Linked DNA regions of Lonchura striata. The protein of the gene in region 2 interacts with the protein of the main gene of each other region in a pairwise test. Links are inferred from orthologs where the notes say so. Each region holds a gene or a part of one and is shown on either strand. Other genes may lie near its edges. The genes, in order: TNFAIP8L1, DVL3, WT1 and BAHD1.

Region 1 (7,273 bases), on a different chromosome or scaffold from region 2:
GGGAAGGAAAAGCACTTTAATTAATTCATGGAGCAGCACAGAGGGGGAGGCTCCACAAAGCTCCAGCTCAGAGCAGAGGCGCCTCTGCCTCCTCTTCCTCCTCCTCTCCCTCCTCCACCTTCCCACCCCGGCCTTAGTAACTTGGTCTTGCTACAAGTTTCCTCCAACACGGAAACATCGTTTCCCAACAGGATAAACATTGAATAGTGGCCATCTCCCTGGATTTCCCTCCATCCCACAGGCTTCTCCTTCCCCTGCTTTGGGAAACACCCCTGCTCTGCCCCCCAGCATTCCCAGTCCCCCCAGCCCCGTGGCTGAATGCCAAGAGGGCGGATGGGATCCCACTGCTCTGCTCTCCATCCCCCAGCAGCGTGCTCCAACCCCTATTAATTAATTAAACCCTCCTGCATTCCAGCAGCTCCGGGCAGTAACCTGAGAGCCCCAGCAGCATCTCCAGCCTGTCCCGCAGCATCCGTGAGCCCCGCAGCTCCCAGGCCCCCGTTACCAGCGCCGGGAGAGCCGAGGGAGAGGAGCGGGAGGAAGGCTGAAGGACGCTCGCAGGTTGCCATGGTGCAAAGGGCAGCCGGAGACGCTGCGTGTGTGCCGAGCGGGGTGAGGCCAGGAGGAAAAAACACTGAATAAACACCTCGCCCGAGGAAAAAAAGCTCCTTCCTTGGCAAAGCCGGGCGGATCCGTGGCTGGAGAGGGCACCGGGAACGCTGCTGGGCACCGCTGCTTCCAGCTCGCCCCGCTCGCTCCCGCTGGTGCCATGTCCCCATCACTGTCCCCATCACTGTCCCCATCACTGTCCCCATCACTGTCCCCATCCCCGTCCTCTCCCTCTGAGCTCCCCCGTCCCAAAATCTCCTTCCCTTCAGCACGAGGCTGAAGCCACGCGAGGGAGATGGATTTTGGTTTTGCCTGGGAGCGCTGATCCGCCCTGGCAGCACCGACGTGTCCGTGCAAGGAGCCGAGGCGCCCATCCGAGGGGGGCTCTGGCGGTGCCAACGCCGGGCACGGCTGGGGAACCCCCAAAAGTGGGATTCCCGTGGGAATGGCATCCTGGGATCCGCAGGGAGGGGTGCTCGCCCCCCAGCTCGGGGCAGGGGCTCATCCTGGGGGTGGTTGTGGCATCAAGGAATTCTCCCTGCGATTACTGTGACCCGCGGGGGAGGCAGCTGCCAAATTGGAGAGGAGGAGGAATTGAGGTTATTTTAAGGAGAGGAGGAGGAGGAGGAGGAGGAGGAGGAAGGGGGGTTATTTTATGGAGGGGAGGAGGAAGAAAGGGAGATTTTATGGAGAAAAGGCAGAGGAAGAGGAGGAGGAAGGGGGGTATTTTACAGAGAGGAGGAAGGGGGGGTTATTTTGGAGCATCTGTCTCGCCTTCCATTTCCTCCTTTTCTTTCTCCAGCTGCCATCAAGCTGCTCTCCCTGGCAGCAACTTCCTTTCTCCTTCGTTTGGAGCAGACTGGAGACTTATGGGGAAGTAGAAAACAGAGGCTGGGAGGGGGGAAACTGAGGCCAAACCACCATCCGTCCGTCCGTCTGTCCGGCCGCGGTGGGGGCCAGGGCACATCACATGCTTCCTGCCTCGGGATCTGGAGGACAAAGTCGCTCTCTGGGAGGGAGGAAAACTCCACGGGACAATTGGGATTCAGTGCTGGGCTTGGGGTCAAGGAAAGAAGGGCCCAAATCCTTCCCTGCTCCAGGGAAATTTCGAGTTGGGAGCTTTTACAGCCAGCTCGCGGCCCGGGCGGGATCCGGCCTCTCCACAGGGATTAGAATTTCCAGGAATGGAGGAATTTCAGCCTCGGGAGCTCAGGGGTGGGAGGAGGGACAGGCGATGCTCAAGCCAAGTGCTGCCATGGGGTACCCGGCCCTGCCCTGGCACGTGGGGCCGTGCCAGCCCCACGGGGGTGGCTCCGGTGCCTCCTCCCGGTTCCCGTTATCCAACACCCACCGGACCCAGCCCCGTCGCGTTTCCCTTGAATCTGGCGAGGGGAAATCGCCTTTTCCCCGTGGTTTATCCACCTGGGGAAACTGAGGCACATCCTGCCGGGAGCGGCTCCCAGCCCTGCCCGCCCCGCGGCTCCCCAAACCCTCCTTTCCCCTCGGGGGCTGCGCGCGGCCGTCGGTGCCCGGTGACACCGGGGAGAGGGGGGACACACACACGGGTGATTCCCGGGATGGAGGGCGAGAGGTTTCGCCCCGCAGCGCAAGCACGGAACAGGCCGGTACCGAGCGCCCCCGCCCACACGGACCGGGGAAGATGGGAGGAACCGGGGAACCGGGAGGAACTGGGAGGTACCGGGAGATACCGGGGGAACCGGCCCTTACCTGCAGCCTGACTCGGGGAGAGCGGCGCCGGGACCGGGGCTTCTCCGGTGCCCCCGGCGGGACGGGACGGGGCGGGACGGGGCTGGACGGGGCGGGGCCAGGCGGAGGGTCCCGCTTCCCCCGGTGCCTCTCCCTGCCCGGCGGGCTCCCGCAGGCGCTACCCGTGCCCGGTCCCCGATGCCGGTGCCCGGTGACGACGTCCGGCGTTCGGTCTTCGATGCCCAGTGCCGGTCCCGGTGTCCGATGTCCGGTTCCTGTTTCCCGGTGCTGGTTCCCGGTGTCCAGTGTCCGATGTCCGGTGCCCGGTGCCAGTTCCCAATATCTGTTTCCCGATTCCCGATGCCGGTTCCCGGTGTCCGGTGCCCGGTGCTGTTCCCGCTGTCTGATTCTCGGCGTCTGGTAACCGGTGCCCCGTGTCTGGTTCCCGGTTCCCGGCTGTCAGTGTCCGGTTCCCGGTGCCGATACCCAGTGCCAGTTCCCGCCTTTCAGTGCCCGGTTCCCGGTGCCGGTTCCCGGTGTCGGTTCCCGTTTCTCAATGTCCGGCTGGCGGTGCCGGTTCCCGGCTCTCAGTGAGGGGTTCCCGGTGCCGGTTCCGTCTCTCGGAGCCCGGTTCCCGTCTCCCGGTGCCGGTTCCCGGCGGGTCGGGGCCTCCCGCCCGCGGTCGCCGCCAAGTCCCGCGCGGGGCCGGGAGCGGCGGGGGCGGGGCCGGGGGGCGTGTCCCGCGGGCGGCGCCAGCCAATGGCGGCGCGGGGCTTGCTACGAAGCAGCCAATGGGAGCGCGCGGATGGGGCGTGGGCGGGGCCGGGGCGGGCGCGTCCCCGCGGGTCCCGCGCGCGTGGGCCGGTCCCGGTAACGCGCGTGGGGCGGGCAGAGCCTCCCCCAGCCCGCACGGGGGTGACGGGGACACGGGTGGGTGACGGGGACACGGGTGTGTGACAGGGACACGGGTGGGTGACGGGGACATCGGTGGGGGAGAGGATCACGCGTGGGACGCCGGCGGCGCTGATGAGCCGGAGCTGAGGAGGGCGCTGCTGGACCGGGCTGTGCGTGGGCAGCGCCGCGGGGTCCTGCAAAGCTCCCCCTCCTCTGCACACAGCGTCCCCACGAGGGGATGTGACACCCGTGGGAAGAGGAGAAGGCGTGGGGGCTGCCGTGCTGCCGGCCGAGAGCAGCGTGTGCGGGAATGTTTAGGCGCGGGGGTCGCGGCTGTCGGGACCCCCCGACATCCCAGAGATTCTGCGCTCCCCAGCATCGGGAGTGTCGGAGCATCCTTCCTCTTCCTCCTCCCGGCTCCGTGGGTAGGAGCCGCGGCACGGGATCCTAATTCCCAAAGGTGGCATTAAACAGATTAAAAGTGGGATTTAGAGCGGATTAAAGTATGGATTAACGGCAGCCTTGACTTGAGTCTTGGTCTCACGCAGCGGCTGGGAAGCGAACCCCAAATCCTCGCCAATTCCCCGGCTCTGATGCCCCCCGCCCCACGGCAGTGCCCGACACCCCCGGGGCATCGCCCCCACTCGCAATATTCCCGAGGATTTCCGCTGGTGCCAGCTCGTGCCGGAGCAGCCGCAGCAGCTGTTGCCGCACTGCCGAACAGCTGTGGCACCAACCTGCCCTGCATAAATCACCCTCCGGGCTCGTCCGGTCCCGGTGGCCACCGGGAGCCTGGTCCTGTGTCCCCATTACTGCCCTGCTCTGTATTTTCACCGCTGTCCTGCTGTCCCCATTGCTGTCCTGTCTTGTGTCAGCACCATTTCCCTATCCCATGTCCCCATTCCTGCCCCATCCCATGTCCCCACTCCTTCCCCATCCCATGTCCCCATTTCTGCCTCATCCCCTGTCCCCATTGCTGCCCCATCCCCTGTCCCCATCCATGTCCCCATTCCTGCCCCATCCCATGTCCCCATTCCTGCCCCATTCCATGTCCCCATTCCTGCCCCATTCCTGCCCCATCCATATCCCCATTCCTGCCCCATCCCATGTCCCCTATTCCTGCCCCATCCCATGTCCCCTATTCCTGCCCCATCCCGTGTCCCCATTCCTGCCCCATTCCCTGTCCCCATCCAGTGCCCCATCCCGTGTCCCCATTCCTGCCCCATCCCATGTCCCCATTCCTGCCCCATCCCGTGTCCCCATTCCTGCCCCATCCCATATCCCCATTCCTGCCCCATCCCATGTCCCCATTCCTGCCCCATTCCCTGTCCCCATCCCGTGTCCCCATCCCGTGTCCCCTATTCCTGCCCCATCCCCTGTCCCCATTCCTGCCCCATCCCGTGTCCCCATTCCTGCCCCATCCCATGTCCCCATTCCTGCCCTGTCCTGCGCCCCCACCGCTGTCCCACCCCACGCTGCCATCGCTGGGCCACCCCCGCCGTTTGTCACCTCGCTCAGGCTGTCGCTGAAGGTGTTTTGGAGGGTGATGGGATGGGGTGGCCGTGTGGGGAGCACCCCTGGGTGCACTCCGGTGTGCCCAACACGCAGATCCCAAAATTCCCAACTCGGGAAGGATCTCAGCAATGTCCCCACGTCTTGCAGAGCTCTGCTCCTCAGCCCAGCCCTGGAGCAGCGGCCGGGGGATGCTGTGCTGGGGTCACACGGGGGGAACCCCCCCAAATCCATCGCCACAAATCCCTGCCCGGAGGATGGAGCAGCCACTGCGGATCGCGGGGATGGGAGCTGGCTGCGCATGAAAACCGGGAATAAAAAAAGAAAGGCAGCGAGGCAGCGGGATGTGGGCCAGCTCCGAGCAGCCGCTCCCCCCGTCCCTCCTCTCCTTGCAGGGAAATGAAACGGGGCTTGCAGCCGCTGCTCTCCTGCCCGCCGAGCCTCCCCGTCCTCGGGGAAGGCGGCCCGGCTCATCCCGCTCCCCCTGAGGCTGCACATCCCACCCGGACCCCCACCACAGCTCCGGGACATCCCCATCCCTCTGCGGCTGCACATCCACCGAGACCCCCACCACAGCTCCGGGACATCCCCGTCCCTCTGCGGCTGCACTCCCACCCGGACCCCACCCCAGCCCCAAAACTTCCTTTCCTCTGCCTCTGCACATCCCACCGAGACCCCCACCCCAGCCCCAAAACTTCCCTCCCTGTGCCGCTGCACTCCCACCCGGACCCCACCACAGCCCCAAAACTTCCCTTCCCTCTGCCTCTGCACATCCACCGAGACCCCCACCCCAGCCCCAAAACTTCCCTTCCCTCTGCCTCTGCACATCCCACCGAGACCCCCACCCCAGCCCCAAAACTTCCCTTCCCTTTGCCTCTGCACATCCCACCAAGACCCCCACCCCAGCCCCAAAACTTCCCTCCCTGTGGGGCTGCACATCTACCGGGACCCCCACCCCAGCCCCAAAACTTCCCTCCCTGTGCCGCTGCACTCCCACCCGGACCCCACCACAGCCCCAAAACTTCCCTCCCTGTGCGGCTGCACATCCACCGAGACCCCCACCCCAGCCCCAAAACTTCCCTTCCCTCTGCCTCTGCACATCCCACCGAGACCCCCACCCCAGCCCCAAAACTTCCCTTCCCTCTGCCTCTGCACATCCCACCAAGACCCCCACCCCAGCCCCAAAACTTCCCTTCCCTCTGCCTCTGCACATCCCACCAAGACCCCCACCCCAGCCCCAAAACTTCCCTCCCTGTGGGGCTGCACTCCCACCAAGACCCCCACCCCAGCCCCAAAACTTCCCTCCCCCTGCCGCTGCACATCCACCGGGACCCCCACCCCAGCCCCAAAACTTCCCTCCCTGTGCCGCTGTACATCCACCGGGACCCCCACCCCAGCCCCAAAACTTCCCTTCCCTCTGCCTCTGCACATCCCACCGAGACCCCCACCCCAGCCCCAAAACTTCCCTTCCCTCTGCCTCTGCACATCCCACCAAGACCCCCACCCCAGCCCCAAAACTTCCCTCCCTGTGGGGCTGCACTCCCACCAAGACCCCCACCCCAGCCCCAAAACTTCCCTCCCCCTGCCGCTGCACATCCACCGGGACCCCCACCCCAGCCCCAAAACTTCCCTCCCTGTGCCGCTGTACATCCACCGGGACCCCCACCCCAGCCCCGGGACTTCCCCCTCCCTCTCCCACCCGGACCCCCCCCCCAGCCCCGGGACCCCCAATCCCCGCTGCTCCCCCCGGCCGGGGGCGGGGGCTCCGCTGCGGGGAGCATCCCCAGGGAGGCAGCGGCTGAATAATTGGGGAGAATGAGCCAGAGTAAAAATGTAACAAGATAAAAATCCATTTAAGTAAAATGTGCCACTTTGAGCTTACTAAATATGCTGTTTAGTCTAGTAACTACAGCCCTAAAAAAATTACCCCAGCTAAAGAAAAAAAATAAAAAAAGAAAATTTCCACACTAAAAAATAAGAAATAAAAAAACTCCTCAGACCTCAAAACAGATAACGCAAAGTAACCCAAGAGTTTTTCTATACTTTCTAACAAAAACTAAGTACAAGTATAACTAGCTATAAATATAATATAAAATCAGCAAAATAAATATACATAAACCTATTGTAAAAGTCTATACATAGAAATATTAATAAAAATAATTTTAAAAATCAAGAGTTCTCAAAAATACGCATATCCATTAAAAAACAGTAAGTCCCCAACATACATCCACACCACTATAAAGAAACATACCCGTTCCCTGTGGGATTCCTTAAAATCAGAGGGTTTGGGGCACATTGCAAAAGGCAGGCCTCAGAAACAGCAGGATGGTAATTAGAGCTAAGCAGTAGCTATAAGATTTGTCAACAGAAAAAGTATACAAGTAAAAAGAAAAAAAAACAAATAAAACAATAGTCTGTGTATTAACGCTTGAGTAGAATAACTTCCTAAGTTGCAGAAAAGTATATCTGGTGAAGTATTAAGAAAAATCTAAGGTTAATAATGGAGCTCTGTGCATTGTAGCTTAAAGCTTACAAGCAAGTATTGTATTTG
Region 2 (7,565 bases):
CCCTTCTGTCTCTGATTCTCCCTGCAGGCCAATGGCTCACTTTCTCATGGACATCAATTACCAGGGATCATGAAACTTTGTGTGCTGCCCAGGGCTTCAGGGCTTCTCAGAGACAAGGCTGCAGCTGGACTGCTCTGCTTGTTCCCACCATGTTCCAGCCAACCACCAGCACATTCTTCAGCTCTCTGGAAAGCAGCAGAGACAGCTTTCCTGATGAAGCATCCATGGTGACAAAGGCTTGCTCTCTCTCTCACACCCCAGGCCTTGCACACACTGCTCCAACTGCTCAAGTTATATTGCCCAGGACTTCCCCAAGGAACAGGCTGCCTACACACAGCCCTGACCCCCTGTCAGCTGTGCCTTCCCTTCCAGAGTGGTTTACGCTTCCCAAAGAAATTAGCTGGGCTGGTCACAACAAAAATCTCATCCATACATTTCTGACGCAACTGATCTTGTGGTGTCTTCCTGAGTGACTTTCCCCTCTCCCTGCTATCACCCACTATAACTCCCTATGCTGCTTTACTGTTGAGTTTTGTTAATCTATCATCTAGCTCCTCTTGTAGAACCTTAAAGAGATAGAGGAGGATGAAAAAACACAGCACAAAACTTCACTGCCACCAGACCCCTCTTCCCAATGCAAGACGCTGCTATTTATTACTAAACTTTGTTTATAGTTGCACACTCTCCCACCCACATGGCAATGTTTCATTCAAGACAAGTTTGAATTCACTTCAAGAACAACATTTCAAAGGATCCCAAAGCATTTGTTTACAAACAGCATGCACAGAGAAGTCACTTCTCCCCCCAATGAACATGGTCCCCTCCGAGACAGGGAGAGGCAGCTGTTTCATAGCACCCAACGCTATAAAACAGCTGAGGGACAGGAAACGATCCACAGACAACTGATATTGCTGAGGAAATTTATGGAAAATGAAGGCTGGAGACTTCTATTTGCCAGGAGAGAATGGAGAAGCTTCTGAGAACTAAAGCTCTCCACTGGGTCAGGAGGAATTTAGGGAAGCAAAGCGTTTCAGACTGCGGTCAAAGGAGTGACTCCAAATTTCAAGCCTCATCTGAAAGCTGGCACCTCCCAAACTAACGGGAACCTGGGCACGGGGATAATTTGGCTGAGGAGGGGAGAGCACCCCCTGCTGAGGCAGCCACACAGATCTCATCCAAGTCCCAAACAGGCCAAGCCCTGTTCAACATGGGGTACAAGCCAAAATCACAGCCCAGAGAGGTATCTGGTGCAGTGAGAAGACACTGGGAAGAATATAAAACTGAAAACACTTTGCAATCCCAGCTCCATGCATAAGACCTACTCTAAACACCAGATCTTCAGAGGAGGAAGTATCACACCACTCCTTCAAACATCAAAGTGCTAGAAATGGTAAAGAGTCACATGTTGTAGAAACCAAGAGAATCCCAGGATGGAAAAAGAGTGGCTAAAGGAAAGTCAGATGTAGGAAATCTGGACAAAACAGAGTGAGGACAGAGGGTCTTACAGGGAGCTGGCTTCCCATGGTATTTGCTCCCCAGAACGTTAACCAACTTTATGCAGGTAGGAGACAGCAGGGGCTGCCCAGAAGATAAGCAAGTACAACATCCAAACAAGAGACAGAATATACCTCCTCACCTCCAATGAGTCACCTGCGATGGGAGGAACCAAAGGGCATCACAAAAGAAGTGATGGAAACACCACTGTTGGAAGAGAGTTGCCCTGCAGGAGATGGGATATAAGACAGGGCTGCACCCCTCTTCTATACCAGAGATGGAGCACGGGACATCTCACTTTGAGACTGGGACATGTACATGGGTACAGTGAGTCTTGTATACACCTCCTGCTCAGAGATGGGCAGCACATGGAGAGCTCTCACTCCTTCTTCATGGAGGTAGGGGAGGACAAAGCTGGCCTTCTCTACACATTCTTCCCAAAAATTAGACGCAGAGGACAAAGCTGACAAAATGGATGTCCCTCCCCAAAATGGATGGTAGGAAAACAAAACTGTCCCCAACTCCATTCCATGGAAAGGGCTGATGGAGGTGGCTCACCCTTCTGGAGGAGGGAGCAAGGGGCACTTTCCCTAGGCAGGCACAGTGGGAGATGCCCAGGCCCTTTTGGTGGGGAGTGACAGTCCTGAGCAGGATATAACCTGGGGATGCCATCCCCGACACCCCAGTGTGGGCTGCATGGGTGAGACCACCTCAGGCAAGGTGTTGGCCAAACATCCTGAGTACGGGAGGGAGTGACCCTCAGATGGGGATGATGGTCTTCTCCAAGGTGCCTCTGGCACCTGAAGCAGGGTATCACCAGCTCCCTCACTGAGGAGCTGGCATGGCGCAGCTTCCCCAGAGCAGATGCGGGATCCGAGGATGTGCGGCTGTCCCCGGAGGCAGCACCCAGGGACAACGAACCCCAGAGAATGTGCACGGGGGTATCACCTCCAGCCTCCCACAGGTGAGGTCCTGGGGTGCACGGAGGGCGCGTCCCTCCAGAGAGAGCCCAAGGGGGTCACCATCCCCATCCTCGCCAAGGAAAGGCAACGGGGATGGAAGATGGATCGGGATCACCGGCCCCGCGCCGGGCACGAGCGGCGCCTCCCCATCCCGGGGGTCCCGGCCCCGCCGTCCCGGGGCGCTGCCGGGGCCGAGGGGCAGCCAGCCCCAGCCCGGCCCCGCGAGGGCGGGAGCTCCCCGGCCACCCGCACTGCTCCCCGGGGAGGCCCGCGGGGCCCGGGCTCCACGCGTGGCCCCGGGGGACCGGGCCCGGGCCCGCGCTCACCCGAAGTCGTCGTCCATGGACTTGAAGTAGAACTTGTAGTTGGGGCGGTTGAGGAGCCCCTTGAAGTCGCCGAGGGTGACGCGCTCGGCCGGGATCGGCAGCTTCACCAGGTACGGCGTCTCCTGCTCGTCCAGGTGGTAAATGATCTTCGTCTCGGCCGCCGCCATGGCGCCCTGCCCGGCCGCCAGGCCCCCGCCTCTGCCTCCGCCGCCTCCGCCGCCCCGGCCCGGACCCCCGGTCCCGGCCCGGCCCCCGCCCGTGCCCCGGCCCGGCTGCGGCCTCCGCACGCCCGGTCCCCCCGCGCCCCTTGTTCTCCGGTCCCAGCGCCGCCCGGCTGCACGGCGCAGGCTCGGCCCGGCCGGCCCCGCCCCGCCCGCCGTCCCGGCCCCGCCGGAACCGGAACCGGCGCCCCGCGGGGCCGCGGCGCGGGAGCGGCCCCGGGAGCAGCGCGGACGGCACCGGGCTCAGCGGGCAGCCCGCGAGTTGGGGCCCAGAGCCCGCCACCGTGCCGGCCCGCCCGCTGCCCCCGAGCCGGATCCCCGCCGCTGGGACGGAGCCCCTACACACCCATCCAGCCCCGGTGCTGCCGTGCCCCGTGAGGGTGCACGGCCCCGGGACTGCCCACCTCCAGCCCCATCACCCCTGGGTGCGTTGGCATTTATACTTTACATCCACATCTTCCTATCCGCAGCCTGGTACTCCCCGTGCACCCACATTCCCAGTGCCAGCTGGGAATACACCTCTCCTAGGCTCCCCACCCTCATTCAGCTTTCACACCCCCTTTACACGCTCTGATGGTGCCTCACACACAGGGTCATTCCTGTGTCCCGCGACCTCCGATTCTGTCCACACCCCAGGCCTCCCCTTCTATCTCTGCAGCTCTGGTCCTTTATCACACACCTCTCAGCCTTCCCCATGCTCCTCTACAGCTATGTGCCCCATGAGTACAGCTTACAAAACATGAGGCATATCCATCTCTACACCATCCTCCCAGGTACAGACCCCTTTGAATTCTCCATACTGTCTCAGATGGCCACCACACACAGAGACTACCACACACCCCAGAGCTCCTCTCCAGCTAGGGCTTCCCTCTGAACCCCTTGTCACCATCCAACAACTAACCCCAGTGCCCAGACCTTTTCCTTACCAAGCAGACTCTTTCCTCTGCTCTTCATGAGAATCCTCTCTTCCATATACCATGGCTTCTTCAACTGGGCACCCTTTGGCTGTGTGGTTTCTTCCCATCCTGTCTCCCCAGACCCCAGCAAATTCTTACCTATAATCATCAGCACTGTGACCCCAGCCCCCAGGACTTGCCTCTGTTCCACATCAGTCTCAGGTTGTCTGGTTTCCACCCTGCACACCTTGCCAGCACCCAGCAGGCACCAAGGAACCATCTCCATCAGCAGTTTCCCAGAGTTGTGGCTAAGAGCAAAACTGGGGTGGATGGAGTTTTGGGAACACCCACCAACAGGAAGGGCAAGAACCGCCTTGCACCATCCTGGATTAGAAGGAACATGCAGAGGAAGCACCACACCACGGGCCTGCACAGGGCATGAGACAGGGCATGAGACTAGATCAGCCCTCAGACTAGACTCCCCTGCCGTAGGAAAAGGAGCCAGAGAGATCCTACAGGGAACAGAGCCAAGTTCCTCAGGCAGGCAGAGCTAAATAAGCCTTCTAATGCATTAAAGAGTCCTGCAGGCATTGCTAGTAATTACCTGGGCAGCACTGCTAGACTGGGGGAAGAACCTGACATTAAACTGAAAAAAGAATAAAAATTCAAGGGAAGTCCTCAGGTAAACAGAAGTTGTAAGAGGTCTGAGACTCTGATGTTTCCACATCAGCTCTTGGAAGATTGTAATTTCCTTATGCCCAGAGCTCTGTAGTAAAAGCTGGTGTACCTGGAATGAAGAATCCAGGTCAGGAATGGAAAAGTTTAGTTTGAATTGCTTCTTCCTGTGTCAACTCTGACAGAGCTAATCTTAAAGTCCTTTTGCAACACCTCCGTGCCCCAAAAGCAGGCACATATGAGAGAATCCTAGTGTGTACCTGGCAGGGCCACTGCCAGGTCTCATCCACCTCGCAGCACAGCCATGGGTGCACCTTGGAGCCTGTATTGTACACATCAGACACATTTGTTACCAAAAGGGCAATTTTTGGTACTGCCGAGCTCCCAAGGGAGCACATGCAGCTCAGGGGAGGGGTGCCACACCCCCAGGGTAGTAGTAGATGAAATCTCATTGCTACAGCTGCCTTTTCTTTTAAAACAGGCCAAGTGACTGAATAGCCTCAATGATAGATCAGTTTCACTGCTCACAGAGGCCTTGTGCTGTATGACTCACTGAATGGAAGTTAAGAACACAGTGCCAAAGAAATTAGCAGGAGGGGATTGTGCTGTGCACTCCAAGGTCCACAAGGAAGTTTCTGAACTGCCTGTTGGCTTATTTTTGCAATTATTGCAACTTAAAAATTGTAGCATCGATAACATTGCTTCTCCTTACAGAGTACAGGCTTCAGACATTTTAGTGCATCTTGGAACAGCCCAAAGCAGAGGCGGATGTACTTGAGTTCCATCACTTACACCTTTAAGCAAATCCAAATTATTATCTTCTTTTAAAAGGGTTACTATTGTTAACTGAAGTTGTAGGTTTGATAAAGGAACACCAGGTTCCTTCCTTCCTTCCTTCCATCCATCCATCCATCCACCCCTCCCTGTCAGATGGGAAGGCAGACAAGTTGATTATTATAGTCTTAGGAAAATAAAGTACTTAATTGCTTGCATTTCTCAGAGATGGGTAGCAATGATTCCACATTCAAGATTGCTCTCAAAGGCATTTCTAGTCTTCTAACCAAAGAACCATCTTGACTGAAGCAACAACAAAGCATCAAGCCCACCCTACACTTCAGCAATGGAATAAATGCTCCTTTAAAAAGTACAGCACGTATCAGTACATAAGGATGCTTCACCATGCCAGAACTCCACCTTGGAGAGTATCAAGTGTTCTAATTAGTTTTCTTTTTGCTACTCTATTCTTGGCATCTGTAAAACTACCCCACTACACACACCACCAGTGCCTGAAGGATGTGGCCATAAAGCAACATTCTCCCCTTGGATTTTAACTCTCAGGTAAAAAGCAGCTCATACCACAAAGTTGGAGCAAAGGAGGAAGGAATGTGGAAAAAACAAAAGTGGAATTGTTACTTGGCAGAAATAATCAAGAACTTCTGGCAAAACTGAGCCATTTACAGCACTACACGTTAAATTTATTCTTAAGCCATATTTACTCTGTAAAAGGAAAAAAAAATATTTGAGACTTCCAAGGAGATTTTAAAATTACTAAGTCTTGCAGCTGGTTTGTAAATGGTTTGACTAAGGGCTTTGTAGCTGCTTCTGCCAGTTCCCTGCCTCTCTACCGGTTCTTATTTCCCAGCATCAGGAGGACACAATGCATGATGTATCAGCCAACATTCCCATCAATTCCCATAATGACAAATGATAAGAGATTTCCTTGGATTTAAGGTTCATCTTTGCAACATAATTCTGTACAAAACCAAACCTCACCCACTTCAGGATTCCAAGTTCAGACATTTTAATGAATTGTTCTCACTAGTTGCAAACAGGGCTCATGAGTTACCATCAAACACTTTCACTCATGAAATGCTGTGCCGATTTCCTACCTGGCTATTGTGTGCTTAAAATCTGAGGAAAAACAAGTGATGAGTTATTTAACTTACACATGAAGCCCTGCTCAGGCATGTAAAACTGGAGACATACAATTTCAAGTAAAAAAAAGCAAACAAGCTGGTAACACCAGGATAGTTTTTATTTGCTCCCTGAATTAAATATTGGCAGATACAGAAAATTCAGATACCAACAATTTCCCCAACATTTACAAGACTGAGTTTGCAATGTCAGAAAACAAGGACATTTATGCACAGTCCTGGCAACTGATAGTGTGAGTGCACAAGATGGCCCTGCCTGAACATCAGCTTTTTAGAGGCAGTATCCCTGGTCTCCAGCATCCAATGCTGTCCCCTCACTGACAGTTGTGGCACCACGGAACGGCCAAGTAAATATCCTGAGTGGGCAGCTCCAGTGCAATTCCTCCTGCAAAGGATTTATTCCGTGCTCCTCCTGAAGGGGCAGAGGCTAGGTCAGCAGATCCAATACCCCACCCATGAACACAAGCTGATGGCTGCGGTACCCTTTTCACCCTGTTCGAGAGCAGGGCAGAATGCAGCACAGTGACACTTCCAAGTTAGCTGCTCTTAAAGGCCTTGCTGCTGCCACACATTGTCTGAGCCAGAGGCACACTTATTCCCTGCTGCCTGCCAAGCTGTTCTGTGGCTGCAGAGCCTCACAGTGGGTTTGCAGCACTTTTCCTGCTGTCTGAGGGAAGTTTTCAAATAAATAAACGGCCATGAAGTAAGCAAGCTTATGTAACTGAAATCATGTGGATACACAGACGTGCTGCTGAAGGAAATACCATTCGCTCCTTTTCACACTGGAGCAGAACTTAGTAACTTGCATTCTCCTCAAAGCAGCTGGTGCAGTCAATGCCCCCAGGGCAAAACAAGTGTAGTTGGTGCAGCAGGAGAAGCCAGGCACCTCTGCACCCTTTTCTTAAAAAAAATAAGAAACAGACACTTCTCTAAAACATGTCTGCTAAGCTGGGGGCACAGAAGAATGATCACATGCAGGATATGGTGATCCGTAGAGCCATCCACCATCAACCAACCCTGTGGGGAAGCTGAGCAAAACATCATCCCTAGTTTTATA
Region 3 (7,347 bases), on a different chromosome or scaffold from region 2:
GGCCCGGCCCGCCGCTCGCCGCCGCTGCACGGCGGGGTCGGTGCTGGGGAGGCTGTCCCGGCGGAGCGGGGCAAGAGCCGGGGCCACGGCAGATGTCCGGGACCCCGCGGGGCTGCTCGCTATCCCCGCACCCGCCCGCAGTGCCCCGCTCACGTCTGCTTCGGGGAGGGGTCGCGCATCTTTGCTTCTCCGTGCACCAAAAACAACTTTTCTACCCACAGGGGATAAACCAAACGTCCTCTAGGCAGCACGAAAGCGTTCCCGGGCCCACGTCAGCCCGCACACGGAAGGCTGGTCCCGCCTTGCCGGCGGCTCCCGGCTCCCGTGGTGCTCGCAGCTCTCGGCAGCGAGAAATGAGAGATTGGGCCCGCCGCGATGAATTCCTGCCCCTGTGCCCTCTGCGCTCCTGGAGACGCTTCTCAGCTTTGTTTCTGCTGCTCTTAGCGCTTAAATAATCAAACTCTGATCAGCTCCCTGAGTGAAAGGAGACAGATCCCCTGCGTGCTGTGAGCGGCGTGAGCAGGAGGGGAAGGGCTGGAGATTTATCTCTGGTTCAGTCAGTCTCGCCCACCTCCGAAACGTGGGGGGATCGTTTTAGGAGTTTCGTAAGAATTACCGGTCCATTCCTTAATTGGTTAGCATGGCAGAGGTAAAATTTCGGCTGGGGAGGTGCGGCAGCGGTGCTCAGGTTGAAGCAGCTTCCCGAGCCTGTTGTTCTCGTGTTCGAGTGGGACTCGCTAGAATAATCCTCCTCCAGCTATTGTTTAACCTGGCAGAGTATGCCTTCGAGCACAATCGAAGACTGAGCGTTATCAGGAATTGCCCTAGCTATGGAACAGCGGGCAATGAAGCCTGTCAGAGTTTTGGATCGGGCCGTATTCGGAGGGGACAGGGCAAAATGTTCCGCACCGCCTGGGTCTGGAAACCGACAAAGGAGATGCTGTCCCTGAACATCTCCCTGTCTCCTCGGCCATCGCGTTCAACTGGGCACCCAAACCCACACGCGGGCGCCCGGTGTGCGAGACCTGGAACGATTTATGCCGGAATTTGTCTGGAAGCGGGGTCGGGATCTCTGGGGAAGAGGTGGGCAAAAGTCTCCTGCAAAGAAGGAGCAGCTCCTCTCAGCATTCCTCAGGGGGAGCTGCTGCCAGCGTTCCCGGCCTGTGTTGGAGGTTTCTCTCTTTCCCTGGCGCTGGCTAGACGGAAACAACTAGGCAAAGTGGCACTGGCCGTCTCCCAAAAATCCTCAGCCCATCCCGAGACGGAAGGGTCCGGGCTTTCCTGCCCCAGGACGCCCCCGGACGCGTTCGAGGTGGGCGCGCTCCGTGTCCCGCACGGCTGAGGCGGCCCGGGAGAGCGCAGGTGCAGCACAGGGCTGAGCTGAGCTGAGCTGAGCTGAGCTGAGCTGAGCTGAGCTGAGCTGAGCTGTGCTGTGCTGTGCTGAGCTCAGCTGAGCTGAGCTGTGCTGGCAGCTCCTGACTCTCCCCAGCCTCTCCAGCAACTGCGGGGAGGAAGGATGCGCTAATGGCCAAGGGGTCGTCTTGTTTCACTGCTGGAGGGTGCGAGGGAGAAGGTTTGGACAGACTTCGGCAGTTCTTCCAGGTAGAGTAATGCAGAGTTAAGCGATCAAGTAAACCTTTCTTTCCCTTTTAAGATGATTTATCAAGCTAGGTTATTTCAAGAAAAGACAAAACCCCCGTGCTAGCTCGAAAAACAGCCCACTACGGGAAACGTATTTTCTGCTAGCTCCTAGAGAGCGCTAGTTTTCATGCGAAATCAAATACCCCGCTTAGGCTGGCCAAAGAATTCCATTCCTATATGTACGATGTCCATCGCAGAACTGGAGATCATAAAATCGTTTAGGTTGTGAAAGACCTTTAAGGTACCCAGTTCAACCAACCTCGTGTATCGGTCCGTCACAGAAACGAGCAAAGCCAGCAGCAGCCCCTGTGCCGATCCCGCAGCTCCCCGCGGGTCCCGGGCAGGGGTGACCGCGGTGTGCGGGAGCCCCGGTGCGGCCAGAGCGGGAGGCAGAGCGGGAGGCAGCGCCGGAGCCCGCGGGCAGCAAGGTCAGCGCGATTTCCCCGCACGGGCTGCATTCACAAGTGCCGTCCAGTGTGCTTTAGTTTGCCGTGGGCTCTGAGGTGGCGCGTCCTGTAAACTTAGAGGATATTTAATATCAGCGAAAATAATGAACTAATCTTTCGCACTTACGCTATACGTGGATTTTTGTAATAAATAGATGTATGTGCCAAAAGAGAAATTTTTAAAGGGAATTACCTGAAATAGTTTGCGAAAAAAAAACAATTTCACTAATAACAAAAACCGAACGTTATGGCTAATAAGTTTTAAGAGAAAATGAAATTATACTTGGCTGCTCCAATAAGGACCTATTTTAATTTCTATTGTTGTAGCCTTGACCCTTTGAATCTTAAAACACCTCTTCAACGTTGACGATGCTTGCGGTAACCTTTGATGCCGCGAGGGAAAGGAAATCCCGAGGTGCGCGCTGTCACCGGGCGGACAAGGGGCTCGGCGTGTCCTGCGGCAGGTGAGCCTTCGCGGCGCCTCTGTCGCTGCTGTCGCCGCAAAGGAGGGTGAGGCTGAGGGCTGAGGCCGCGGGGGTGTCGCCGGGCGGCGACCCCGCTTGGCGGTGCCACGGCTCTAACAGCGGCCGGTGACAAGGGACAGGGCGGCGGGGCCGGTGCGACCCCGCGTGCTCCGCGAGTACCCTGAGCCGGCAGCTGCCCCACGGCTGCCCGTGAAAGCGGCACCCCCCACCCCCGGGTGGTTATCCATCCGTAGTTATGCGGGAGGGCGGCAGGATTCCCCTCCCCGCCTTTGGAGAGAGCGCGTCCTGCCCGCGGCAGGTACCGCGGGGCTCTGCCGCCCGCCCCGGCGCTTCCTGCCTGGGCAGTCGCTCTAGGTGGGCTCCCGCACCGCCAGAATCACGGCACCCCTCGGGGCCGGGGCCGACACGAGTCCTGCCGTGTTTCTCGGCAGGAAGGACAGCCCGGGGATAACGAGTCGGGTGCCTTTGGGGGTCCTCCGGCCGCCGCCCCCGGGATGGACGCTGAGGAGCCGCTGTCCAGGAGGCTGGAGAGCAAAGAGGGACTCCGGGCCTTCCCGGGAGCAGTGCCAGGTGAATCTCTCAACAGCAGGTTACTCACAGCGCTGCTGTCCTCCCCCGCCCGCCCAGCTGCTTCCTTCCCCTCGCACACAGGCAGGTCCGAGGCACCGGGCTAGGGCCGGGCTCACGCCGGCCCCGGGGCCGGTGCAAAGGGCTCCCAGCCCTCTCCTGGCCGGCGGAGCCCTCGGTACCCCGGCCCGGCCAGCCCTGGCGACGTGCCGCGGCCCTGCGCCCCCAGGGACAGGGAGGGGTGCGGGGGGGCCGGGCAGGCAGCTCGCACCCCGCAGGAGCTCATGGAAACGCAGGATCCTCCCGTAGCGGGAAAGGCACCTGGAAAGACACTTTCTCCTCTCAGAAATGGGGTCCGCCCGGGCCGGGTCGTGTCACTTCCCCTGGTTCCTGCAAGGGCGGAGGCTTCTCCGCGCGGTCCCCTGGGCCTGCGACCTCGCCGCCCTCGGGAATCCCCACGGACATGCACGGAGCTGGCGGGGGAAGTCAGCCAGCACGTACTTACTGGCCACCTGGATCCCTCTAACAAGTCCCGCAAGTCTCTCCTAAAGCGGAGGAACGTTAGGGTGAGATTTAGTGGCGCTTGCACCAGCAGAAGGGTGGGAGTGATGTGTAGGGGAGATATATTCTCCCACAGTCACCTCTCCCCCTCCATCCCCGGCTCTCCCGTGTCTCCCCTCCCCCCGCGCGTCTGGTCCGGCTGGGTTCAGCAGAGCGGGCTGTGGGCAGCCCCTCGGCGGAGGTTGTGTGAATGGAGGATCGGCGTGGCTGACTCCTCCTCCCCTGCAAGCGCCTCTATTTGAGCTTTGCAAAGTTGAGGGTTGAGCAGGCATCCGAGGTGAGGCGTGCGCGGCGGCTGTGCCCCCCTAGCTCGGACAGGCGGACATCCGTACAGACAGACACACGCGCGGACACACAGGCACGCACACCGCACCCTGCCCTGCGCTGCGAGCGGGTGCAAACCCGGAGGCGATCCTGGAGAACAACCTTGCCCTGTCGCTGCTGCCGGCTCCCGCAGGGCTGGACCCGGGGAGCTGCGTCGCGGAGCAAACTTCCCCCAAAGGGCTGAGCTCGCCGGCCTGGTGCCTGCAGCCGGAGCCGGCCTCCGGCTTGGCGGGCAGGGGCCAGGTGTCTTGGAACAAGTGCGGCCCGGGGGGAGACTGGCTGCCCGGCGGCAGGCAAAAGGTCTGCGAGCAGATGGGCTCCGACGTCCGAGACCTCAACGCGCTGCTGCCCTCCGTGCCCTCCCTGCCGGGCAACAGCAACTGCACCATGCCGGTGAGCAGCGCGGCGCAGTGGGCGCCCGTCCTGGACTTTCCCCCGGGGGCCTCCTACGGCTCGCTGGGGCCGCACTCCTTCATCAAGCAGGAGCCGAGCTGGAACGGATCGGACCCGCACGAGGAGCAGTACCTGAGCGCCTTCACCGTCCACTTCTCCGGCCAGTTCACGGGCACGGCCGGGGCTTGCCGCTACGGGCCCTTCGGCGCCCCGCCGCCCAGCCAGCCGCCCTCGGGCCAGGCTCGGATGTTCCCCAACGGGCCCTACCTGCCCAACTGCTTGGAGAGCCAGCAAGCCATCCGCAACCAGGGTAAGGGCCGCGCTGCCGGGCGCCCCGGGCTCGGGGGACGGCCCCCGGAGGCGCCCGCTCAGCCCGGCAGGGCCGCGCCTGATGTAAACACCGAGGCCGGTCCTTCTCCGCGGCGGCCGGGCCGGGTTAGGCGAGCCAGCCCTGCCGTGCCTCCCTTCCCTCCCTGTGCGGCAGCCGCGTCGCACCCGGGAGCTTTAGGAGCCACGAGTTGCTCGGCCCCCACCCCTCCTGTGGGGCAGCGGATGCAGCGGGCGGCTCTGCCAGGCGGGCTGGAGCCCCCCGGCCCCCTCCCCGGGTTGGAGCAGCCTCTCGCCTTCGCAAAGGTTTGTTCGGGCCGGAGACGACACAAGTCCTGGAATGGAGCTGGAGCCCGTGGCCCGAGACAATTCCCTCTGCATATCTCGGGGGTGATGGGGTGGTGGCGGGGGTGAACCTCCAAACTCCCTCCAGAATCCGAAAAGGGCTGTCCGCACGCTGGTGTTTTCAAGCCCCTTTTCGAACGAACCTCGGGAGGGCTGAGTATTCCCGGGTGGAATGCACAAGCAGGGGCGACTCGGCGTTTCTTGTCTGCATCTCCGCGGCCGGGACCGGCTGCGCCGCAACTCCCTGCGGTCCCCGGTGTTCGCACCGTCCTGAGAGGCTCCCGAGGGTTGAACGGCCGGGCAATGGGTCAGCCGCGTGTGGCGCCGGGTCAGCATCTAAATCCTTTTTCTTCCAGCTCCTGCAGTATAAACATTTGCGGGCGCGAACGGGAGGAAGAAAGGAAAAGGGCCCAGCGTGCGAAGAGATCGCATGAGACATTGCGGGTCTCATTCCCCCTCCTTCAGCTGGCCCCGGAGTGGTGGTGTGCCGGGGTTTGCCCCGCACTGCCCGGCCCCGGGCGAGGCACCGAGGGGAGTCGGGCAGCCGGGGCGCCGCGGCTCGGGGGACGGGGAATCGGCGGAGTGTGCGTGGCCCTGCCGGAGCGGGATGAGTGGCCGGGGTCTCTCTGCTTTTAGGATGGGGTTCCCCGCACCTAGCCCGCAGCTCGGGATTGCTGTGCCCCGCGGGGGCAAACCCACAGAGCGGCTGGGACAGACCGTCCCGGGAAGGGCCCGGGCGATTCGGGCTGCAGGGCGTCGGGCAGAGCAGAGGCCGAGGCCGGCGCCGGCAGACGCGCTCGGTGCTGGCCGCCGAGGTGTGGCCGAGGCCCGGGCGATGCTTGCAGCGAGGGGCAGGGGTTGTTCAGCGCGGACCTCCCCCGGGCAGTGCCGGGTCGTGGTCCCGCTGCTGCCTTCGACCCCCGGCCCCTGCCCCATGGGTTCGCCCGGCGCCGGGCTCCGATGTAGGAAAGAGCAGAGCGGGGCTTCTGGGTCGTGCTGCCGATCCCGGCTGGGAAAATGGGTGGCATCCCTGGAGCTGGGGAGAGGCTCGGCCCTGCCGAGGCCCCGGAGCCGCTGCGTGCCCTGCGGGGTCCCAGCTCCAGCTGCGGGACGGGAGGGGAGCGGCCCGAGCCCGTCAGGACAGGGACTCTGACGGGGACCTTTGAAAGACATGCGAAACGGTTTTAGACATCGGAGGAGATTCCAAATAGCTGGACGGAAATAAGGACAAGAAAGTGGAGAGAAGGACGAGGGAGATAAATTCGAATTAGCGAGGGACAAAATAGCTGCGACTTCGCGCCGTCCTGGCGTCCGGTTTTCCCCACCCCGGGGAGAAACGGAGCCTTTAACGCCCCAACACACGGAGCCCACGCCGGGCTCTCCTCGGGCCCGGCGCTCCGCGGGCCGTGCTCCGCCTGCGGCACCGCAGGCACCGCACAGACCCCGCACACAGCCGCACCTGTGCGGGCCGGGGCCGGCGCACCGAGCCCTCCGCACAGCCCCGGGCATCCCGGCCCGGCAGGAGCCCGGCGACGGCGCCGTGGCGGGAGCAGGGGCCGTGTCCCGGGCCGGGGGGTCCCTTCGGCTCGGGGCTGCCTCCCGCACGTGTAGCCCTGGGGCTCAGCTGTTTTCGGTGGCACGCAGACAGAGGGCTCCTATGGCAAGGGGATACTCGGCAAAGGCGTTTGCTTGCCTTTTTTTTTTTTTTTTTTTTTTTTCTATTTTGTGGATGGATAAAATGTTCTTGCTTTGGCTCTCCTCAAGGTTGAACTCTTTTTTTTTTTTTTTTTTTAGCGGTTCCTCCGACCGTGGGAAAGACGCTACCTTGGCTCTGTGATGACATTTCTGCCAAGTCTGGGATGGGATGGGGTGGGGGGTAGGAAACTAAGGCTTTGAAACCTCTGCCCAATTTTCCTCTTCTTGTTTGCCTGCCTCTTTCATCCAGCTGGGCTCCTCCAACAACTGGATGCCTCCAGCGGGCCCCGTTCTCCAGCAGATGTACAACTTTCAATTATTTTCAGCACATTTTAATCAGGCCTACTTCTGATAACGCCCTAATTAAAGAGACCTCACTATCGGCAGCTCGGTTCAGAACTCAACTTTCTTATCGCATTCCTGAAGCTTTGGGTCAGGCAACACCGGAAAATGCGGCCAAAACCTCGTCCTGCTCCGAGCTGAGTTTTGAAGGTCACCGAAACTCTGTGGCGGGCCAAAAGTAACGTAGAAAGTGTCAGTATTTTCTGAAAGCTAAAAAAGAG
Region 4 (7,244 bases), on a different chromosome or scaffold from region 2:
ATGAGAGTTATGATGTCGTTCAGCTGGTTGGGTGTGATACCAAGGCTGTTCTGCTGCTGCTTCCATGAGTTGTATCCCCGTGGTTAACTGAGATCCCAGAACCAATGAGCTTGGAAAAGAACTCCAAGGTCACCAAGTCCAACCTGTGACCAATCATCACCTTGTCACCCAGCCCAGAGCACCGAGCACCACATCCAGTCCTTTCTTGAACACCTGCAGGGATGGACATTCCACCACCTCCCTGGTGTCAGCCCCTTCCAGTGCCTGACAGCCTTTTATACAAAGAAATCTCTCCCGATGTCCAAATGGGGACAACTAACTGGAGATGGGGCAAAAAAACCCTAACACAGCTCCTTTTGGATGTGATATTTGCACATCTGAGCACACCTTCTTGTTTTTGCAGAGCTAGATCTCATCACTCGTTCATTTGCTTGTGATCTGAACACGATGCCAAGCAGAGAGCATGCCTTTGCTACCACTCCTAATTATTTTTCAATTGTTTACTTTGGACAGATTTGCTGCTAAGGGCTTATTTTCAATGCTGCAGCAGCACTAGAAAAGTTTTTGCTGAAGGGTGGATTTCCCCCCACATCCCAGCCAGGTGATCCCTAAATCGGATCTCCACAGACTGGACCAGCACACGTGTTCCAGAGAGCCTCCAAGTCACACAACAGCGATTAACACCACCACAGCAAACAAAATTAACCTGCATCACCTAAAACACAACAAGTTCCACCTCAGCAGGAGGAAGAACTTTCCATGGAGTGTGGCAGAGCACAGAACAGGCTGTCTCTGGAGACATTCCAAACCCACCTGGACACATTGCTGTGTCACCTGCTCTAGGTGGGGGTGGTCTCCAGAGGCCCTTCCAACCCTGTCCCGTGATACTGGTTAAAAAGCCAAATAAACACTAAGGCTTCCAGAGAGGAAACAGAAAGGTGATGCAGACAAACTGGCAAGAAGGACAGAGTACCGACGCTTAACTGAATGATTCAGTTGGATGAGAACACACCAGTGGCCTCCAAAATAACATTTCTGCCTCAAGACACAAGGGTGTGACTGTTTTTCCCCCAAAGCCCACATTTCTAAGTTGCATCTTATTGTTCTGTGCAACTGTCACCATGAAGCCCCAGCAAACAAAGCATCCAGAAAGGATCCAGTCGCACAAAGTTCAAGGAATTGTTTTTCCTTGCAGGCTTGGTGTTTTACACCTATCAGTAGTACTACACTTCTCTGCTCTGCTCCAGCTGGAAAGCAGTTAGAAATGCTGCACTGTGTTAATGAGGAAAACAAACAGAAATCGATGTTTAAATCCAAAACGTCCTGGTAAATCACACTAATGCACTATTTCCTATCACCTGCAAACATTTAGACAGTTCCAGCCGAAGCTCGGGAACGATTCAGGTAGCCAGGACATGACAAACGTGAAGGATGGCCCGGGATGAATATGTGAGCAGGATATTTCTGTTAAAGCGATCAGCAGCGTGCTGGTATTTAAATCACATTACGATTTCAAAAGCACCAGTCTATCACGCAGCTCGTGTCACTCTTTCTCACAACCACAAGGACCAGAAGCCTTAAAATAAAACCCCGAGCCCCCCAGAACACCACAGAGCCCCTCAGCGTGGCACAAGCACTCGCTAATTGTGGCAAACTGATGGACAGATCAATTAACCAGGCAAGCAAAAGCCCGGCAAAGCCTCTCGCTTTGAGGTTCGCCTGCTCCTGACAATGATGACTTCAGATGGAGAGCGAGCACGAGGGGCAGCTGGATTCTTTAAAACAAAACACAACCAGAACCTCTTTCAGATAAGCATTTTGTGGAAAGAGAAAGGGGAGGGGGAGAGGCAAACAGAATAAATCCCAAATGCTCGTATTTTTTAAGTTTTCGTGGCTGCTCTTGTGAAAGAGAAGGGGTTCCTGTGTCTCCCTGTGCCGGGGCAGGGAAAAGGACATCGGGGTGTGGGTATCCCCGTGTTGGCTGTCGAGCAGGAGCCCGGGGAGCACTTGCTAGTCTTCCCGAGATCTGCCCAGTCACATGTGCTGGCTCCTGCGCCTTATAGAAGCAGCTGGAAAAGAGGGAGCCAGCGGAGCTGCCTCCATTAGGAGCCACCGCTACACAAAAGGAGAAGAGAAAACAAGCCGTCGGCCACCGGAGCAGCCGGCAGGAAAAGAGAGATGTCCAGAGCCACGGGGAGCGCACGGCGAGTGGGAAAAATCACGATGGAAATGAAAACTGCTCTGCTATCCCCCAAAGAGGCTCGATGGTACCTGCTTGACAGGGACACGGGGCTCACAGCCCGCCCGGCATCACATCCTGCAAACCACCGGGAACTCGACGGACTCAACCGCTCGACCCTCCGGGGAGGGGCTCATCGCCCCGTTCGGCCGTGGGGAGCCCCAAGACACCAAGCCCCAGCCAGCCCGTCCTGTGCCAACTCCCGGCCGGGCAGCGCCGCTTCAGCTCCGAGATCCGGAGTCGCCGAGGACAGCGACGGCTCTCCCCGGGAATCGCCTCCGACCCGGCGATGCCGAGCCGAGCAGCCCATGGGGCGAGCAGCCCATGGGGCGAGGAGCCCCGCAACTCCCGCGGGCCCCCCCGGCCCGGCGCCGCCGCCTTTGTGCTGCCCGAGCGGCAGGGGCGGAGGAGCCCCGGGCGGTTCGGCGGGGCCGATCCGGCCTCGCACCGGTGGGACCGCGCGGGGTAACGGCGGCTCGGGCCGGCCCGGCCCACCCGCCACCCAGCCCGCCGTGCCCTCCCGGCGCTTCCCCGCCGCCGCGGGAAGTTCCCGCTGGCCCCGAGTACCCCCCGCCCCCCAAACCCCGGGGCGGCGGCACCTGCTCCCGGCCAGGCGGAGTTCCCGGGGGCGGAGGGACGAGCCGGCGCCGCGGGGACCGCGTGTGGACTCACCGGGAGGCTGCCGCAGGCCCCGGGGGGGAGAAATCCAGCGGCGGGAGCGCCGCGAGTCCCGAGCTCCGCGCTGCTGCTGCGTCAGCGCCGCCGCCTCCTCCGCTGCGGGATGGGGACGAGGCGCCACCGCCGCCGCCCGCCCCTGGCCGCGGGGCGTCGCGGAGCGGGCGGGCGGAGGCCGGAGCGGGCGGCGGAGGGGCCGGGAGGGGCGGAGGAGGGGGCGGAGGAGGGACCGGGGGCGCCGCCGCCGCCGCCGCCGCGAAGTCCCCGCAAGCCGCGAGCGCCTCCGGCCTCCTTCCTGCTTCCTCGTCCGCAGCCAATCGTCGCCCGCCGCCCGCCGCTCGCCCCGCCGCGCCGGCCAATCACGGCCGCCCCTCCCCGCCGCCGCCGGCCAATCGCCGCCGCGCCCGCCCCCGCCCCGAGCCCCCCTCGGCGCCCCCCCGCTCCCCTCACGGAGCCCCCCACTCTGCCGCCCCTCGCCCGTGGCGCGGGATAACCGGGATAACCGGGAAAACCGGGATAACCGCCCCGCCGGAGCACTGGGGTAGCCCCCGATGGCCGCGATTCCCTCACAGGACGGGGGCATGAGGCGGCCTCGCGCGCCAGTCAGGGGCCCCCCCGTGGGTCCCTCAGAGGCGCCCAAGGCGCCCTCACACCTCGCGGCTGTGCCCTGCGCATCCCGGGGGCAGTCACACTTAAACCGAGCCCTGCATCCAAACTCTGGGAAAGTTGTATGTCCCAGGGGTCCGGCGGGAGCTCCGCTGAGAGCTGCTAGGGAGGAGAGGCAAAAGGCAGAGCGGGTTTGAGCGCCCATCATTCCCATCCCGAGATGGGCACTGGAAAGGCCACGGACAGCCCCTGTGTGGCAGCTATCCCTGAGCAGCCTCGTGAGTCAGCAGCAGGGGAATATCCCGTTGCATTTTAGGGGGGAAAAGGCCAACAGAGAGTTCTCAGGTGTCTCAGAGCTTCTCCACAGAATCTGTCCTCAGGTGCGACACTCAGGTGTCCGTGGCTTCTATGGTCTTACCAACAGGTGAGACATGGCAATGAGAACATCTGAAAAACTCCATATTTTCCTGAAAAGATGAGTTTAAAGCCCTAAAAGAGAACCAGCAAGCCACGGAAGTTACTTGATCTTTAGCAGTACCACAGTCCCCATCCCTGAAGCCTCTCCATCAGCACCAGAATGGGGTTTTTCCATAGAATCATGAAGTCTTCTGAGTTGGATCCACAGGAATTGAGCCCCACTCTTAGTCCTGCACAGGACAGCCCCAAAAACCGACCATGTGCCTGAGAGCATTGTCCAAACACTTCTTGAGCTCTTTCAGGCTTGGAGATGTGACCGCTTCCCTGAGGAGCCTGTTCCAGTACCAAATTTGTCCTATTTCTTTTAAATTTGGGAAACAGCTGGGAAAGAACTCGCACATGGAACAAGCAACTCACGGGGCTTCAGGAGATAAATACACACACAATGAGGGTGAGACCCTGATTATCTGTTTGAAATTCAACTAAACTGCAGGAGACTAAGAGCCTGAAATACTTCCTGCCTTGTTCCGGTGGTCCACAGGGATCTTGCAAACAACAGCAGGATCAAGCACTGGTATGATTATTGCAGGATCCAGATGTTACACAGGGGAAGCTTGAGAGGAAATTCAGCTATTTGGAGACACTAATTCCTGAAACAAATACCAGCCATTGGTGATGGAGCAGGGAAAAATAAGTAACTTTAACAGCTATACCCCTGGAAGCCTTCAAGGTGCAGTAGGGCAACCCTCCTTAAAAACTCTCTGATACTGTTATGAGCTGGATTTGGATGATCCTTGTGCATCCTTTCCACCTCAGGATACTCTGTGATTACCCCATTTGATGGCTGCCCTTTGGAAATGCAACCTTTGGAGGAGACTTTTCCAGGCTCTATTTAATGCAGCTGGACAACACCAAGAGCCACTCCATAAGCACAAAGGTTCTGTCTCCTCAGACCAGAGCTGCTCCCCACCTGAAAACCGAGGGCAGCTCATGGTGCTGCCAAATTATTCCCTAAAAATGATATTTTATTGGAGCCTTTCCCTCTGCTGCGAGCCACAGGAACAGGAAATCACAGCACTCTGAGATCAGAGTTCAATTTTCGTGTTACACAGAGCACACTTACTCCTGTTGCTAGATGTGTTCCATTGACTTCCAGCATCTACCACCTCAGACTCCCATAGCTAAACAGAACGATATTTGAGCAGAAAAGTGAAGAATCTGAGAATTTCAAAGTTCTGAAATCCCCCTGGAACTCAAGCAATAAACCCACAGTGTCACAGTGTTCCAGAGGGAAGCACTTGGGCAAAATTCATTATGAAATTTGATGACAAATATCATTTAACAGCTGCTTTCTGGGGAAAGTGGAGGTGAGGCCACCTTCCCTCTTCCAGGTGTCTGGAATAGGAGAACATCTGGACAACGGACAGGTTGAGGATGGGGAACTGCTCCAGAGCTGTGCAGGAGTGTGAAGCACAACGGAGCCATCTGCAGAGCTGCCTCTCTTTTGAGATACTAATTTATTCTCAAGTGGGGCCTTTCCTCGTCCCTTTCTCAGAGGGATGAGGGGGGGAAAATGGGAAGCTAATTGCTGATTCCAGAACAATATGTCTGTGTGTCTGCTGGCCTCCAGCCTCTGTCAGGCGGCGACACAGCCAAGAGGCAGCATTTGGGCTTTTTCTCCCCTTATTAACTGGGAAGAATAAACCACCAAAACCCCAACACAAAATCTTCCTACCCCATATTCTGGCCTGTTTTTTGGACAAGGGATAACATCCAGGGCTATAGACTGCCTGAACAGCAGCACAACAAGAATCTTTGTCCCCAGCTCACAATATGGGCTGTGGCAGCACCTTGCTGAGGTAGTACCTGTTGGTAAAAGGGGTTCTAAAGCCCCATGGCTGTGGAGGAGCTGGGCCAGGAACCAGCAGGGATTAAGAGATTGTCCCTCACTGCATGACTTACCTCCAGATACTGGGGTGGCACAGGTACACAGAGCTGAGCCAGCGCTACAGGGAAAGAAGGGAAAAGAGGATTTTATTGTTAACACAGGGAAAACAGGGAAAAGGATCTTTGCATTTTCTGACTTTGAATTTCAGTAAAATCTTTAGTTGTCCCACAGGAGAATGGAAGAGAGTCCCAGCACCTCACTGTGGGTCAGGCTGGGAGAAGGGTGTTTGCACTGCACACTCAGAGCTCTCTGACTTTCAGGAACAACTATGGTAAATTTTAAAAAGTCACAGGAAATCCAAGAAGAAAAATCTCCCAGCAGGGCTGCAAGGACAGAGAAAGAGTACCTGGAGCTCTGGTGTCTGTGATGGCAGGAGGCTGGCAGCCTCCTCTTTTTAATCCAAGTGGAATCCCTGGGAACACCTGAGCTTCCTGCACAGCCACAAACTGATGGAGAGCTTGCATTCCACTGGCAGCTTGCAAATAGGCATGGAAGCTTAAGCAACAACCTTAATCCGAGTAAACTCACACACTAAGAGCAGCAGTGTGGAGGATCCTGCACCAACTGGTTCCTTGGCCAGGCCTCAGGGAAGGACTTGGCTGCAGGGAAGAGCCGGCACATCTGTGAGGGGGAGGGTGGCCAGCCCCACCTTCCCAAACAGCCGCATGGCTGCAGATGGGGATAAAGCCATCCTTGGGTCTTTATGTGGCCCCTGTTTGGCTGCAGTGACAGGGATGGGTTAAAAAGTCTTTAATTCAGCCTATCTCAGCTGCATCCCATAGGGATCCTTCTCTTTCCAGGCATGTCCCCCACCAAGAAACATCCCCAAACCCAGCTGTGTGATCCCATCCCTCCTGGTGTTTCCACAGAAAAGGTGCTGGTGCTGCACTGGCTTGCTGGCAAAGAGATGGGTTTTGGTGGTCCCCTCCTTTCCTTCCCCCTTCCAGGGTTAACCCAGTAACTGCAAAAGGCCAAATGAATCCCTGGTGGAGCTCCATGGACTGACTTGGAATTCTATTACACCAAAAAAGCAAATTGGCTGTGAGTGTTCAGGTCTGCAGCAAACCAGCTGTGGTTACAGAGGCAGCTTCCTCTGAGATTTCTGTTTAAACATCAGCATTTGTTCATTTTCAGCTGGGTGAAATATTCCCCTTTTTCCACCGGAAGAAACCTTCAGGCTGAAGGAGAGGGCTCTGCCAGCACAGAGCTGTCACAAAGGATCTCATTACCTACCTAGAAAAATCCAAATTACTGTATTGGTGTCTCAGGGAATCATCTGCAGCTTTTTGGTACCGTTGCTGCTACAAAGGTTTAATTTCTCATTTATTTTAATTTATTTTCGTTTTAGAAAAGTTTATG

The links.
Region 1: the proteins of DVL3 (region 2) and TNFAIP8L1 interact in binary tests that used the Homo sapiens proteins (3 or more experiments, as listed by UniProt). The two-hybrid records come from large-scale screens. The link is inferred for Lonchura striata from reciprocal best matches to the Homo sapiens genes DVL3 and TNFAIP8L1.
Region 3: the proteins of DVL3 (region 2) and WT1 interact in binary tests that used the Homo sapiens proteins (3 or more experiments, as listed by UniProt). The link is inferred for Lonchura striata from reciprocal best matches to the Homo sapiens genes DVL3 and WT1.
Region 4: the proteins of DVL3 (region 2) and BAHD1 interact in binary tests that used the Homo sapiens proteins (3 or more experiments, as listed by UniProt). The two-hybrid records come from large-scale screens. The link is inferred for Lonchura striata from reciprocal best matches to the Homo sapiens genes DVL3 and BAHD1.

Annotation. Positions count from the first base shown.
Region 1 is NC_134630.1:5,932,184-5,939,456, forward strand, and holds the start of TNFAIP8L1 (tumor necrosis factor alpha-induced protein 8-like protein 1), read right to left. Parts: upstream 3,014-7,273; 5' UTR 2,338-3,013; intron 2,264-2,337; exon of another isoform or gene 2,171-2,263; intron 1,599-2,170; exon of another isoform or gene 1,374-1,598; intron 1-1,373. UniProt on the Homo sapiens protein: Acts as a negative regulator of mTOR activity.
Region 2 is NC_134612.1:18,725,548-18,733,112, reverse strand, and holds the start of DVL3 (segment polarity protein dishevelled homolog DVL-3), read right to left. Parts: upstream 3,013-7,565; 5' UTR 2,950-3,012; coding exon 2,783-2,949; intron 1-2,782. UniProt on the Homo sapiens protein: Involved in the signal transduction pathway mediated by multiple Wnt genes.
Region 3 is NC_134608.1:60,255,839-60,263,185, forward strand, and holds the start of WT1 (Wilms tumor protein), read left to right. Parts: upstream 1-4,336; coding exon 4,337-4,727; intron 4,728-7,347. UniProt on the Homo sapiens protein: Transcription factor that plays an important role in cellular development and cell survival. Recognizes and binds to the DNA sequence 5'-GCG(T/G)GGGCG-3'. Regulates the expression of numerous target genes, including EPO.
Region 4 is NC_134608.1:52,665,295-52,672,538, forward strand, and holds the start of BAHD1 (bromo adjacent homology domain-containing 1 protein), read right to left. Parts: upstream 3,005-7,244; 5' UTR 2,912-3,004; intron 1-2,911.